Linked DNA regions of Schizosaccharomyces pombe. The gene in region 1 interacts genetically with each later gene. Each region holds a gene or a part of one and is shown in the gene's direction. Other genes may lie near its edges.

Evidence for each region. Genes that interact genetically often act in the same process or in processes that back each other up.
Region 2: mutations in sap1 (region 1) and uve1 impair growth when combined (synthetic growth defect), as found in Schizosaccharomyces pombe (one study listed by BioGRID).
Region 3: of sap1 (region 1) and swi3, extra expression of one rescues a mutant of the other (dosage rescue), as found in Schizosaccharomyces pombe (one study listed by BioGRID).

The regions. Positions count from the first base shown.
Region 1 is NC_003421.2:561,019-565,729, reverse strand, and holds sap1 (switch-activating protein Sap1), read left to right. Parts: upstream 1-1,963; 5' UTR 1,964-2,612; coding exon 2,613-3,377; 3' UTR 3,378-4,154; downstream 4,155-4,711. Other genes in the region: SPOM_SPCC1672.01 (histidinol-phosphatase), read right to left, coding at 4,453-4,711. UniProt on the Schizosaccharomyces pombe protein: Binds to sequences required for mating-type switching. Makes a simultaneous contact with both the alpha and beta domains of the switch-activating site SAS1.
Region 2 is NC_003423.3:2,837,072-2,841,567, reverse strand, and holds uve1 (endonuclease Uve1), read left to right. Parts: upstream 1-1,982; coding exon 1,983-3,782; 3' UTR 3,783-3,996; downstream 3,997-4,496. Other genes in the region: integral nuclear inner membrane protein Bqt4, read right to left, coding at 1-300, 347-400, 463-562, 602-633, 671-711; tRNA methyltransferase Ppm2, read left to right, coding at 4,185-4,496. UniProt on the Schizosaccharomyces pombe protein: Endonuclease for the repair of UV-irradiated DNA. Involved in the excision of cyclobutane pyrimidine dimers (CPD) and 6-4 pyrimidine pyrimidones (6-4PP) which forms the UV damage repair (UVDR) pathway. Also functions in oxidative damage repair in vivo.
Region 3 is NC_003423.3:3,090,359-3,093,775, reverse strand, and holds swi3 (replication fork protection complex subunit Swi3), read left to right. Parts: upstream 1-1,919; 5' UTR 1,920-2,248; coding exon 2,249-2,415; exon of another isoform or gene 2,416-2,473; coding exon 2,474-2,852; 3' UTR 2,853-2,917; downstream 2,918-3,417. Other genes in the region: isn1 (IMP 5'-nucleotidase), read right to left, coding at 377-463, 514-1,436, 1,486-1,693; SPOM_SPBC30D10.05C (sepiapterin reductase), read right to left, coding at 3,036-3,417. UniProt on the Schizosaccharomyces pombe protein: Forms a fork protection complex (FPC) with swi1. FPC coordinates leading and lagging strand synthesis and moves with the replication fork. It is required for programmed fork-pausing which is necessary for mating-type switching.

The DNA.
Region 1 (4,711 bases):
AAATAAGATAGAAATATTAAATGTGCAAGCAGCAGAAAGATTGTAATGTTAAAGTGGAAAAGAGCCAAGTAGAGATATTGTAGAGGATACGATGTGTTTGATAGGGCGGAATTTTGTATATACTGTTTTTTCAGGTAGAATACAGGGAAAATGCTGAAGCGACGTTTGCAGTGTTGAAGAGATGACAAATACAAGACCTTTACAAAATGCATTCTAGTTTGATTTTTTTTTTTTTTTATAAAGTGAATTTTTTCAAGATTTTATTTTCCTAATTTTATTTTCCTAATTTTATTTTTTATATTTTTAATTATCAATTTTATTTTTATTTTATTTTTTTTATTTTCTATTTATTTTTTTATTTTGCATTGCTCATTCTTTCACCCAGAGTAATCACTAAATTAGTCTTTGTTTACAACAATTTGAACAAACAAGTAAATAAATGAAAATAATATTGTTGTCAGACAAAAAACAAGTTAAAATTAAATAAATAGAAAACTTGTGGCTCATTTGATTCTTAGTTATTCTTTGTTTACCTGCGAATTGTTTTTTATTACAATACCCAACAAGTGTTTTCATGTAAATCATTTCACACTCTGTATATTTTACTTTACATATATATATGTGTGCGAGTTGAATCATTTAGTTTCTATCAAAACTCTTTCTACTGCTCTCCCTCTAGATTCTTAATCGGTTTACTGACTCTTTCCAAGTTCTTAATTTTTTACTGCACTTTTTTTATAGTCTTATTTATTTTTAGTATACTCTTTCTAAAGCCTTATTCGGGTTACTGCCTCTCTATGTCGTCTTTTACTGTCTCTCCCTCTACATCCCTATTCATTTACTGCACTCCTTCCTACTCTCTTTTTCGTTTGCTTCCCCCTCCAAGTTTTGTTTCGTTGCAACAAGGTAGAAACAATTCGAATGGTACCAACAATTCTAGCAATCCATACAGACTCAACACCATACATTTCAAGGGTCGACCTCAGATTACTCAATGAAACTCTTGAAAATCAGAATGATCAACCAATATTCATAAATGCTTACAGCAACTTTTGTCGATTGCTAGCAATGATGCATTTAGGTGAAACAAAGTGTGGTCTAACAATGTTTAAATAAAAGAAAAGAAAGGAAAGAAAAGAAAGAAAAAAATAAAAAAAATACTTGATCTTGATTGTATTTTTATTTTCTTTTCTTTTATTTATTCTATTATTTCTCTTTCTTTTTCTCTGCTATAAAAGTGGCGACCATACTGCAATCGAATGAATGTCCACACTGCAAAAAGTGTATGGAAGAAAGCCCTAGAGTAGAAAAGGAAAGAGAAAAGCGCACAATAAGGAATGTTAAGAATAAGAAAAAAAAAGTTTCAACATACTTTATTTTAATTATTATACTGTGGTTTATTTCCTTATTCCAATTACAACAATGTAATTTACATGCTTATTCTAATTACTACAAAGTGATTTTTATCCTTATTCTAATTACTACACTTGATTCACTTCCTTATTCCAATTACAACGCTATGATTCATCTCCTTATCTCCTCTAATACCCTCCCTCTCCCTCCTTGCTTTACTCTGCGGGCATCCCTCTTCCCCCCCTTCATCACTCCCCTAACCCACTGGAACGTTGGGTTTGTTCGTTTGTGCAATCTTTTCTTATCTTCACATTTCCACCCACTCTTCCATCTCACTAATTCCGCTCCTGGGAGCCGGCAAATCAGCACCTCCTTATCCAATAATACGCAATCCACATGACGCCACCATCGTTGCTAGTCTTTCCATTCTCATCGCTATCGCACGTTCCAGATGTGGCGCCCCTCCTTATTCCTCGCTTTCATTGGCTCTCTCCCCATCCCTCGTTGTGACCGTTTACCAGCGATACCGTATGTCATCATTACCGACCGTGCCTGCGTTTTGGTGGCACTCGATCTTATTTACCTCGCTGCGCATCCCAACGAACGCTTTACCAACACCTCCAACACACTCTCCATCGTATTGCAGTGTCGTGTAGGACTTGCCTTCGTTCAGATCCTTAAATAATTTCATTCAAAATCGGTTTGCATTGCTTTCCTCTGTTTTGCTTTGCCCTGCCTTTGTTGGAAAACCTCTCTTACCTCTTCTACTTGTGTTGACTCACCAGTCAGATCAGCTTGGCTCTACTTGTCTACGACTGGAAGCGTCTTTTCACCTCTACTACAAACTTCTATTCTACTATATACTCTTCTCCTGTTTTGCTTTGCTTTGTTTTCTTTTGCTTAGCTTAGCTTAACTTGACTCGACTCGACTCTGTTTTTTTACCTTGCTTTTATACTGTTCGTCTAGTACATAGTATACTTACTATCTTGTTAGTTCCTCCTATACGATTCGATTGCTTTTCCATCTCGTCTCGTTTTTCTCCTCCTCTCACTTAGCTTTTCTTCTATAAAAGGTCGATTTTCATCCTTCTCCTTTTATATCCAAAGCAAAAGCTTTCTGCGACAACTTTTCCTTTCCTTTCCTTTTCTCTTTTTTTTTTTTAACTATACACCACTCTTCCCCTAGCGGCAATTTGGATTTCGGACAATCGAATCCAAATTCCACCTATAAATTATTCAAGACGGATCCCCTATTTTCTATGGAAGCTCCCAAGATGGAACTGAAGAGCTATAAACGAAAGAATGCTTCGTTATCTCCCAGTTCCTCTCCCGCCAAGGCACAGCGTACTCACTTGTCCTTGGAGGAAAAAATCAAGCTCATGCGCTTAGTCGTGCGTCACAAGCACGAACTCGTCGACCGTAAAACTAGTGAGTTTTACGCCAAGATCGCCCGTATCGGTTATGAGGACGAGGGCCTCGCTATTCATACCGAGTCCGCCTGTCGCAATCAAATCATCTCCATCATGCGCGTCTACGAACAGCGTTTGGCCCATCGTCAACCCGGCATGAAGACCACTCCCGAAGAGGATGAGCTCGACCAACTTTGCGATGAATGGAAGGCCCGTCTCAGCGAGCTCCAACAGTATCGCGAAAAATTCTTGGTTGGCAAGCGCAAGTGTGATTGCAATGATGAAATTAATGAACGTCTCAAGAAGCTCACTGAAGAGCAACAAAACGTCGACATGCTTGTCGCCAAGGTCAACTTTCTCTCCAAACATCTTCACGATAATGAGGAAAAATTAATGCAGGTAAATGCTAAAATGGATGAAGTTCTTGCCGAAAATAAGCGCCTTCAACAACTTCTCGATCATAACGATTTGTTGTCCAAGCTCGAGCCTCCCTCTGCTTACGCTCCCCATGGCGTTAACATGGGCACTAATATGGGTGCCAACATGGGCGCTAATATGAATGCCATTCGTGGCGGTCTCCATTCTAGCATCTCTCCTAATCTTGGTGACCATTAATCCCAACTTTTCCGCCCATCCTCCTCCTACCTGTGAACACACAACCTCTTTTCTTCGAGAATTTCGTTCTCAATCCTTGTTTAACTTATGTTGAGCGGTTGAATATAAATTTTTTTTCTTCTTTACTTTTGACTGACGGTCTGCTTGATGTAAATATCTTTCATTTCTCCCTCTTCCTAGTTGTGTGCAAGGCGAATCATTCGGTAAAGCTGGTTACTTCCTTCCTCGTAGGTATCTTTGCCCCTTTCCAAATAAAAAGGCAACGAAGCCTTTCTGTATGTGCGCTAGTTGGGTTGCTTCTATTTTCTCCGCATTTTCTTGTCTCTTCCGTTATTAAACTAATATTGATTTTTTTTTCTTTCAATCCGGACATATTAAATTCTTTGTTTTTTTTTATTTTTTGTCCTCCTTCAAACAGTTTCGGTGATTGCTTTGTTTTCGCTTTCCACCGCTATTTGCCTTTGCCCTCTTTCCCTTTCGCACTAATTCGTTGTCCTTTTTGCTTTCGTGCTTTATCCCAATTTCGTACGACTATCGTTCTTCCCTTCAAACAAGCTTGAAACAGGTACTGTCATATGTTTTGCAAGCAATCCTCCTTGCACTTTCGGTTGAAGCTTGACGAAAGCCCAATGGTCCCACCCATGCTTTGCTTGTAACGTCACATCATGGTTATCTCTTATTTAGAATAGTTTTTTCCCTTAAATTGGTTTCAGTAGTGTTGGCCATTAGTCGGCCTACTCAATTGAGTTAATGTACAATTAATACAATTTTAAGCGACAGAAATCTATGTATCGTAGCAATCGATAGTTCATGTGCAAGTGGAACAAATATTGAGACATCGTAGTACTCGTGTAAAACAAACAGTCTTGTTAAACGGGAGCTCCTCATAAATGGGATCATCATCCACCACAACAAAAGCTTTGCCGGCCATTTCATACGAAGTGATTGAAATATGGTGAATAGCTAGTTACTATACTTCAGGTGACCAAACAGTGTACTTTTGAATTTCCCTTGTAAAAAAATTTCAAGTCCAAAAATGGCCCCAATACGGAAACAAATTTAAACTGTATTACTTCTATGTGTTAGTTATTCCGTTTGTGCCAACGAATTTAGACCAAACATTGTCGACCGTAACATTTTTAACCACCGTGCCATTACCATCGGGGCCCTTTTCTATCATACAGAGGCTTGTAATACCGCATTTGTCCAGATACGACTTGGCCAAATGATAATTCAAGCCAACTTGATGTGGTCCATGACTATCGTCAGATAAAGTGAGTTGCGCTCCTTGTTCAACCATCAGCTCAAGAAGTCGTTGCTGAGGATACGCAGTC
Region 2 (4,496 bases), on another chromosome or scaffold:
CGCCTAGCAACAGAAGTGGTAGTGGCAGATGTCGAAGATTCAGGTTCCCCCTCAGATGTCTCTGATTTCTGCGCAGTGGGGCGTGAAGGAGTCGCATAAGTTGAAGGAGTGGAGGATGCCTCTAACAAGGCGTTAATAAACGGGGTCATGCTGTAGTCTTTGGCAAGAGCCAAGGCATCTGCAGGAGGCACCCATAGTCCAGCAACACGTTTGTCTTCAATTGGGTTTAAATTATCACGAATCCATCTCATTTCCAAGTCTTCTTCTTCTTGGGTAGCCTTAGGGAAAGCTGAACGAAACCTAATCGGGTTTAGATTTTTAGAAAAAGATATGAAAAAACGCTTACATTGACGTAGCACTAATGCTTGAATCCTTTGCCATCCTCATAAGAAAGTGAGGTCTATATTTATATACATCATTAGTATTTTTCCAAAAACAACACTGCAAAAAAAAGATAATTACACTTTAGATTCCGGATTTGTACACTTGAGACGAACAAAAGTAGCTGGTCCATCAGGAAATTCTATTACCTGAGCGCGACACTTTGGGATTAATGGTGTATCTGCTATATTAGTTTCACGTAATTTCGGGAAGCGCGTACGGTCAAGTGTATCGTCTTTATAGAGAGGGTTTCTAATATCAATTAGTCGTTTTCTTTAAATATACGAACCTTTCAGCAGGTAAAGACCTGCTTTTCTCATTCTCAGTCATGGTATTCAATTAAGGGGAAAGGTAACAATTAATCGCCGTCGTCGACGTTTGTATAATTCCTCTCTTACAACGTTTATGTAATAGCTGATTGTATAGAGCAATAGTGGTGCTACCTTAAATGATAATATCGAGTGATGCTAGGACGTACTTCGTTATAAACTATGTGCAAAGCAAGAATTACTAATTCTTTAAACACCTCGAGGTCATGTATAGTCGATGCTTATGCTGAAATGTAATGTTAATATTGTTTATTTGAAGATTCAATGTGGTTCCAATTTTTTACGCTTTTCTGTTGGGATACAAACTTAAGGAAAATATTCACACGCGGGCAGCACGCTGCCAAATGTTAAATATAAGAAGCGCTGATCATTTATTTCTGCTAGAAGTTTGTTTTGTCAATCGATCAGCCAGGTCGGCAAAAACGATGCGGCAGTAAGAAGCGTTCTTCATGCTACTGGTTGTAATAGTATTTGCAGAAAAAACCAATCGTTTCGCTGATGCAGCTATCTACGGTTCTAAAGATATACTGTATTTTATCGTAAACAATTCGCTTCGTTTACTCTACCTACATTGCGATTTCGCAATGATGGCTTCTCAACCAACTCATTAATGCTGATGGTATTAAATCTATTGTGAATTACACGGTAATTGTTTGTATATTTTTAAAGATGTCCATGTCAGCAGAAAGCAGCATTAAGACGGTTCATAATACAATATAAATGACCCGAATCCGCCTACTTCTGCTTCCCATACACACATATGCTACAGATGGTAAAATAAATTGTCGCGACTCCTTGACTTGGCCAAATTTTCATTTCAAATGTTTTTTCCTATCTGCTGTTTTTTTGATTGTTCAACTGAATCTGCAATTATTAAAGAGAAAGCAACACAATCTTTTTACTTAACATTGTATTGCTAAACTAAGCTCGATTTGAGAAACCAAAATTTCCTCGTAAAAGCAGTCCTATCTACACTGAACAATAACTGTCAAAAGTTGAATCCCTTGAGCATCAGTAATCTCATGGCCTTCCAATAAAATCATAGCGAATTTTGACGTAACAATGATACAAAACCATTTTTGGTTTACTGGGAATGAAAGAAGATTTGTCTTCACACTCGTTGATTTTGACTAGTATTGAGTCTCAATCACTTCTTGTCGATATCTCTTTTCACTTACAAGATAATAGTTGTAGGGATATAAGCAAGTTTGCGAAGGGCTTATTTCCTTCTAAATAATGTCATATTGATACTAAAATCGTTTTCATTTTTTAATGCTTAGGCTATTGAAACGAAATATTCAAATCTCTAAACGCATTGTTTTCACCATATTAAAACAAAAGGCATTTAAAGGTAATCATCCTTGTGTACCGTCGGTTTGTACCATTACTTACTCTCGTTTTCATTGTTTACCCGATACCCTTAAAAGTTTACTTCCAATGAGCTCAAAAACCACACTCTCAATGTTACCGCAAGTTAATATCGGTGCGAATTCATTCTCTGCCGAAACACCAGTCGACTTAAAAAAAGAAAATGAGACTGAGTTAGCTAATATCAGTGGACCTCACAAAAAAAGTACTTCTACGTCTACACGAAAGAGGGCACGTAGCAGTAAAAAGAAAGCGACAGATTCTGTTTCCGATAAAATTGATGAGTCTGTTGCGTCCTATGATTCTTCAACTCATCTTAGGCGATCGTCGAGATCAAAAAAACCGGTCAACTACAATTCCTCGTCAGAATCCGAATCGGAGGAGCAAATTAGTAAAGCTACTAAAAAAGTTAAACAAAAAGAGGAAGAGGAGTATGTTGAAGAAGTCGACGAAAAGTCTCTTAAAAATGAAAGTAGCTCTGACGAGTTCGAACCGGTTGTGCCGGAACAGTTGGAAACTCCAATTTCTAAACGAAGACGGTCTCGTTCTTCTGCAAAAAATTTAGAAAAAGAATCTACAATGAATCTTGATGATCATGCTCCACGAGAGATGTTTGATTGTTTGGACAAACCCATACCCTGGCGAGGACGATTGGGGTATGCTTGTTTGAATACTATTTTAAGGTCAATGAAGGAGAGGGTTTTTTGTTCACGCACCTGCCGAATTACAACCATTCAACGTGATGGGCTCGAAAGTGTCAAGCAGCTAGGTACGCAAAATGTTTTAGATTTAATCAAATTGGTTGAGTGGAATCACAACTTTGGCATTCACTTCATGAGAGTGAGTTCTGATTTATTTCCTTTCGCAAGCCATGCAAAGTATGGATATACCCTTGAATTTGCACAATCTCATCTCGAGGAGGTGGGCAAGCTGGCAAATAAATATAATCATCGATTGACTATGCATCCTGGTCAGTACACCCAGATAGCCTCTCCACGAGAAGTCGTAGTTGATTCGGCAATACGTGATTTGGCTTATCATGATGAAATTCTCAGTCGTATGAAGTTGAATGAACAATTAAATAAAGACGCTGTTTTAATTATTCACCTTGGTGGTACCTTTGAAGGAAAAAAAGAAACATTGGATAGGTTTCGTAAAAATTATCAACGCTTGTCTGATTCGGTTAAAGCTCGTTTAGTTTTAGAAAACGATGATGTTTCTTGGTCAGTTCAAGATTTATTACCTTTATGCCAAGAACTTAATATTCCTCTAGTTTTGGATTGGCATCATCACAACATAGTGCCAGGAACGCTTCGTGAAGGAAGTTTAGATTTAATGCCATTAATCCCAACTATTCGAGAAACCTGGACAAGAAAGGGAATTACACAGAAGCAACATTACTCAGAATCGGCTGATCCAACGGCGATTTCTGGGATGAAACGACGTGCTCACTCTGATAGGGTGTTTGACTTTCCACCGTGTGATCCTACAATGGATCTAATGATAGAAGCTAAGGAAAAGGAACAGGCTGTATTTGAATTGTGTAGACGTTATGAGTTACAAAATCCACCATGTCCTCTTGAAATTATGGGGCCTGAATACGATCAAACTCGAGATGGATATTATCCGCCCGGAGCTGAAAAGCGTTTAACTGCAAGAAAAAGGCGTAGTAGAAAAGAAGAAGTAGAAGAGGATGAAAAATAAAAATCCGTCATACTTTTTGATTTATGGCATAATTTAGCCATCTGCATTTTCAATGCAATCATTTTTGTCTTTTTGGCTCTAGATATTTCCGAAAAAATTCACTAGAGTACTATTTATTTTCTTATTTGCTTACTGTCCATGCTAATATTTAATCTAAAAGTTATTGTTTTATTTACAATCAAATTTCAATAAAACATTTCAATTAAATATAAAATTTAAACTAGTAATTTACGATTTACACGAATTATGTAAAACTTTAAGCAATTCCGGTCATATTGGTATTGTCGTTTTCTGATCAATATTATAATTCCTTTCCACTAATCTTCGTAAGCTTGTGTAACTTAACTGCAAAAATTCTCAAGGCTTCGAAAGATTAAATGAGCTTCTCTTTATTCATATACAATGTCAAACAAAAATCAAAGGAAAACTAAGTCAAAAGATAGAGAAGTTCGTAAAACCAATGACAGCTCAATTCTTTCAAAAGCCTCAGTTGAAAAATGTGGATATCCAGGTTTTACCGTAGGACATTCTTATTATCAACCGTTTATACAGAAATCACCTAGAAGATCGCCAAGCGTAAATAGAGGTTATTGGACACGATGCATGGCTATTCGATTTGCAGTGTACCAGTTTTTGAAGAATAAAACCGGCAAAAGAAAGGCAATAGTGAATTTAGGTGCAGGATACGACCCCTTAGCCTTTCAACTTTTAAGT
Region 3 (3,417 bases), on another chromosome or scaffold:
TTGTTTAGAATTTGCTTCTATGGCAAATTATCGTTCATGTCTTAAAGTTACTCTGAAAACTAATCAAGTACATACTGTATCTTTCTTTGAGTTATCACTATTTTTGTCTTCATTTATTTAGAGTTTTTATGATGTGAAATTCATGTATTCAGATTTAATGCTATTCCAAATCTTACATTGCATAATGCGCTATTAAAATTAGCAAAGAAATTGATATCAAAAATCAAAGATTAACAATGTATTGAACGATCATATATCTTTTGATGTCAAAACGCTTATATGGGTATTCATTTTATAAGTATAGTATAGCATTGCTGAAGTATAAGAAGAATATTTACGAATGTGTTTGCAGTATAAGATCTCTCCTCTAATTAAATTACTTTTTTAAAAAAGAGAAATAATAATCTAAAAACTCAATCGTCTCGTGGGGGCTGGATACCCAAACAGTGGTAGCAGCAGCTCTCTTTGAATAGGTGGTTAGTAATCTTCAACAAAAGTTTATTTCAAACTTACCGCTTTATAATCATTGTTACCAGCTGACAAGAATTGATCACCAACATGCAGACAGCGAGAAGGATGGGAAATATTAAAAAAATGCTGAAGGCATAAAACACCCAATTTCTTGTCACCAATATCACACCAAATATCATTTCCACCATTGAAAGCAGTAAAAGGAACTGAGAAATTTCGTATCTGCAACGTTGCTTGTGTCTCCAAAACAGCTTCCTCCAGTTGCTCCCTTCTCAGTTTTTGACCAAGGGAAGGTACAAATCCAACTGATCTTTCTTTACGAACTATTTTTGCATCAATGTTAAGTCCTTGAATGCAAGAACGAAGAGTTTCTTCAGCAGTATCCAAAATTTCGAGAATCTCATCATGAGGCCATGTTTTCATCACGGGAAGCATCCATGAGTCAGCATCCACCCATTGTAAACCATGCAGTGGGTCATAAGCAAATAAGTAATTGCTCTCGCCTCCTAATACATGAAGTTTCCGTTTCTGCCCATCCTTCAAGTCGCTGTCTTCGATTGCCTGCAATAATCCTGAAAATCTATCAGTATACTCCTGGCCAGTACGACTGGGATAGCCAGCAGCAGTAAGAATGATGACATAGATCCCCCTCGAAAGTAACTGAATCAAACGGGATATAACAGGATTGTCAGGAAGCAAAGGCTGCCCATCTTCGTACAGAGTTACATCTCCATCAAAACTGACCATATCCAAGCCATTATCCGCAAGGTAATTCAATTGAGCACCTCCTAATATTGCCCTGACATCGTTAAAACTCGGTGCCACAAAGCTTCGTTTAGCTAGACAAAGCTTTGGTTCCAACGCGTACATAGCTTTCACTAATGGCAAAGGTGTCCAAAATATGGTGATCGATGGAACAAGCATCTTTAACTGGCTATAGGATCCACCTTCTGAAACTATTTGAACTATCAATGAGAAAGGTTAGAAAATTAAAAGAATGAAGGGGAAACTTACTATGAGCCTCAATAAGTTTTTCCACATCTCTTAAAATTACAGCGTAACGCTCAAGCGTTTCCTGCTCTTTTTCGCGCGTTACTAGTTTCTGTGAAGGGGTTCCTGCCTGTAAAACAAAAGGAACTGACAACAAACCTTTAATCCATTCAATAAAATCGTCCTTCCGATGTTGCTTTAACGCATACTCAACACGATATCTAGAAGCCATTGCCTAAACCTTTAATGACAAACACTTATTCAAAAAAAGAAATCTACACGAATGCAAGAAATTTGAAGGAAAGTATGTTAATTGAAAGAGAAAGGGTAAAAGTTGCTTTATTATGCTTTCCGAAACGATTCAAAAATGATTACGTTGAGAATTGTTATACTAGTATTAGCAGCGAGCACTATCACTCAAATACGTCTATCACAATTCCAAAAATTAGCTATAATTTATGAGCATTCTTAACAAAATTTTATAAAAGTATATAGTCCAGGTGTAACATGAGCCTTCTGAACTATTCTTCCTCTACACATTTCTAATCCGCGTTAAATAAGGAATTTTCTTTCATTAGTAAATTATAAACCTTTCTTGCTGCGCAGTTAAATTTGAAAGGTTCTATTCGCTTTTCATTAGCAGTAAAGTCAATAGTACATAGAAAAATTGCTAGATTAACAGAACTTTTGAAGCGAAACAGCAAGCAAATCGATATTTATTGCATTCACTAACTCTCTTTTGCGAAACATACAAGCAAATATATATTTTAAAAAAACACCATAAGAAATGTCTACAGCTGCTTCTGATTCAGGTGTTGAAAAACTCGTCGAGGAAAACAAAAGGGAAGAGGTGAAAAAGAATGAAGAAGAAAAAGAATTTGATTTAGGGTTAGAAGAAAATCCAGATTCTGTAAAAAAACCTCGCAAACGGTTGGCAAAATTTGATGAAGAAAGGTAAGAATTTGGTCGGTTTTCGGAAAATAATTATTGACCACTCGTTTTCCCTATTTAGATTGATTTCTGAAAATGGAATTCCAAAATTAAGGAAAATGATGCGCAAAGTTAAGTTAAAAGGAAAGGGTCATGAGGCAAAAGACTTAAAACAACTATTGGGAATGTATCATATATGGACTCATGAGTTATATCCAAGAGCCACGTTTGATGACTCAATATCGTATCTTAAAACTCTAGGAAAACACAGATCCGTCAAGGTTCGACGTCGTGGTTGGATTAATGAAATTGCTGTTGAAAATGGTTCGGACTCTAATGCTTCATTATTTACTGGTCCATCTTCCAATTCATTAGTGAATTTGACGAGCGGAGATCCATATGTTCAAGATACAGCTGATGATGCTTTTGTCGCCCAAGACAACGATACCCAATTAGAATAGTCACCATTAATGAATGATTGAGATGTTGTTGCAGCTTTGTTTATCAATATTAGTAATCATGATCATTTTTTGGGACTATTTTCAGCTACTTTTATTTGATGTAATGTTTAATTTATTCATTTTGTTTTATTTAAACGAACAATTGTAGCCTCTAACTCCGAAATTCAATAAACTATAGAACATCTAGACAAATGATTTCCATTCTACGAATTGACCAGTAAGCTTTGGATTGTTATTCAAGGCTAGAAAAGAAAGAGCTTTGGCGATGTCCTGAGGAGCCACAAGTTGACCGGATGTTTTAAGTTCTTTGAAAAAATTATGAGTATCTCCACCCATGGCTTCTTTATTGGAATCATTACGGATACTAACTTGCATAGGGGTATCAACAACTCCCGGACGTACTGCCACACTCATTATATCAGGCTCCTCGCTGCCAAGGTTCATGACTAGCATGTTGATGGCGGCCTTTGAGCAACAATATGCAGCCCACGCGGGAAAAACACGAACAGCAGCGCCAGAGGATACAATCACAATAGTACCCTTGGTTTTACGCAAATGCGGGATT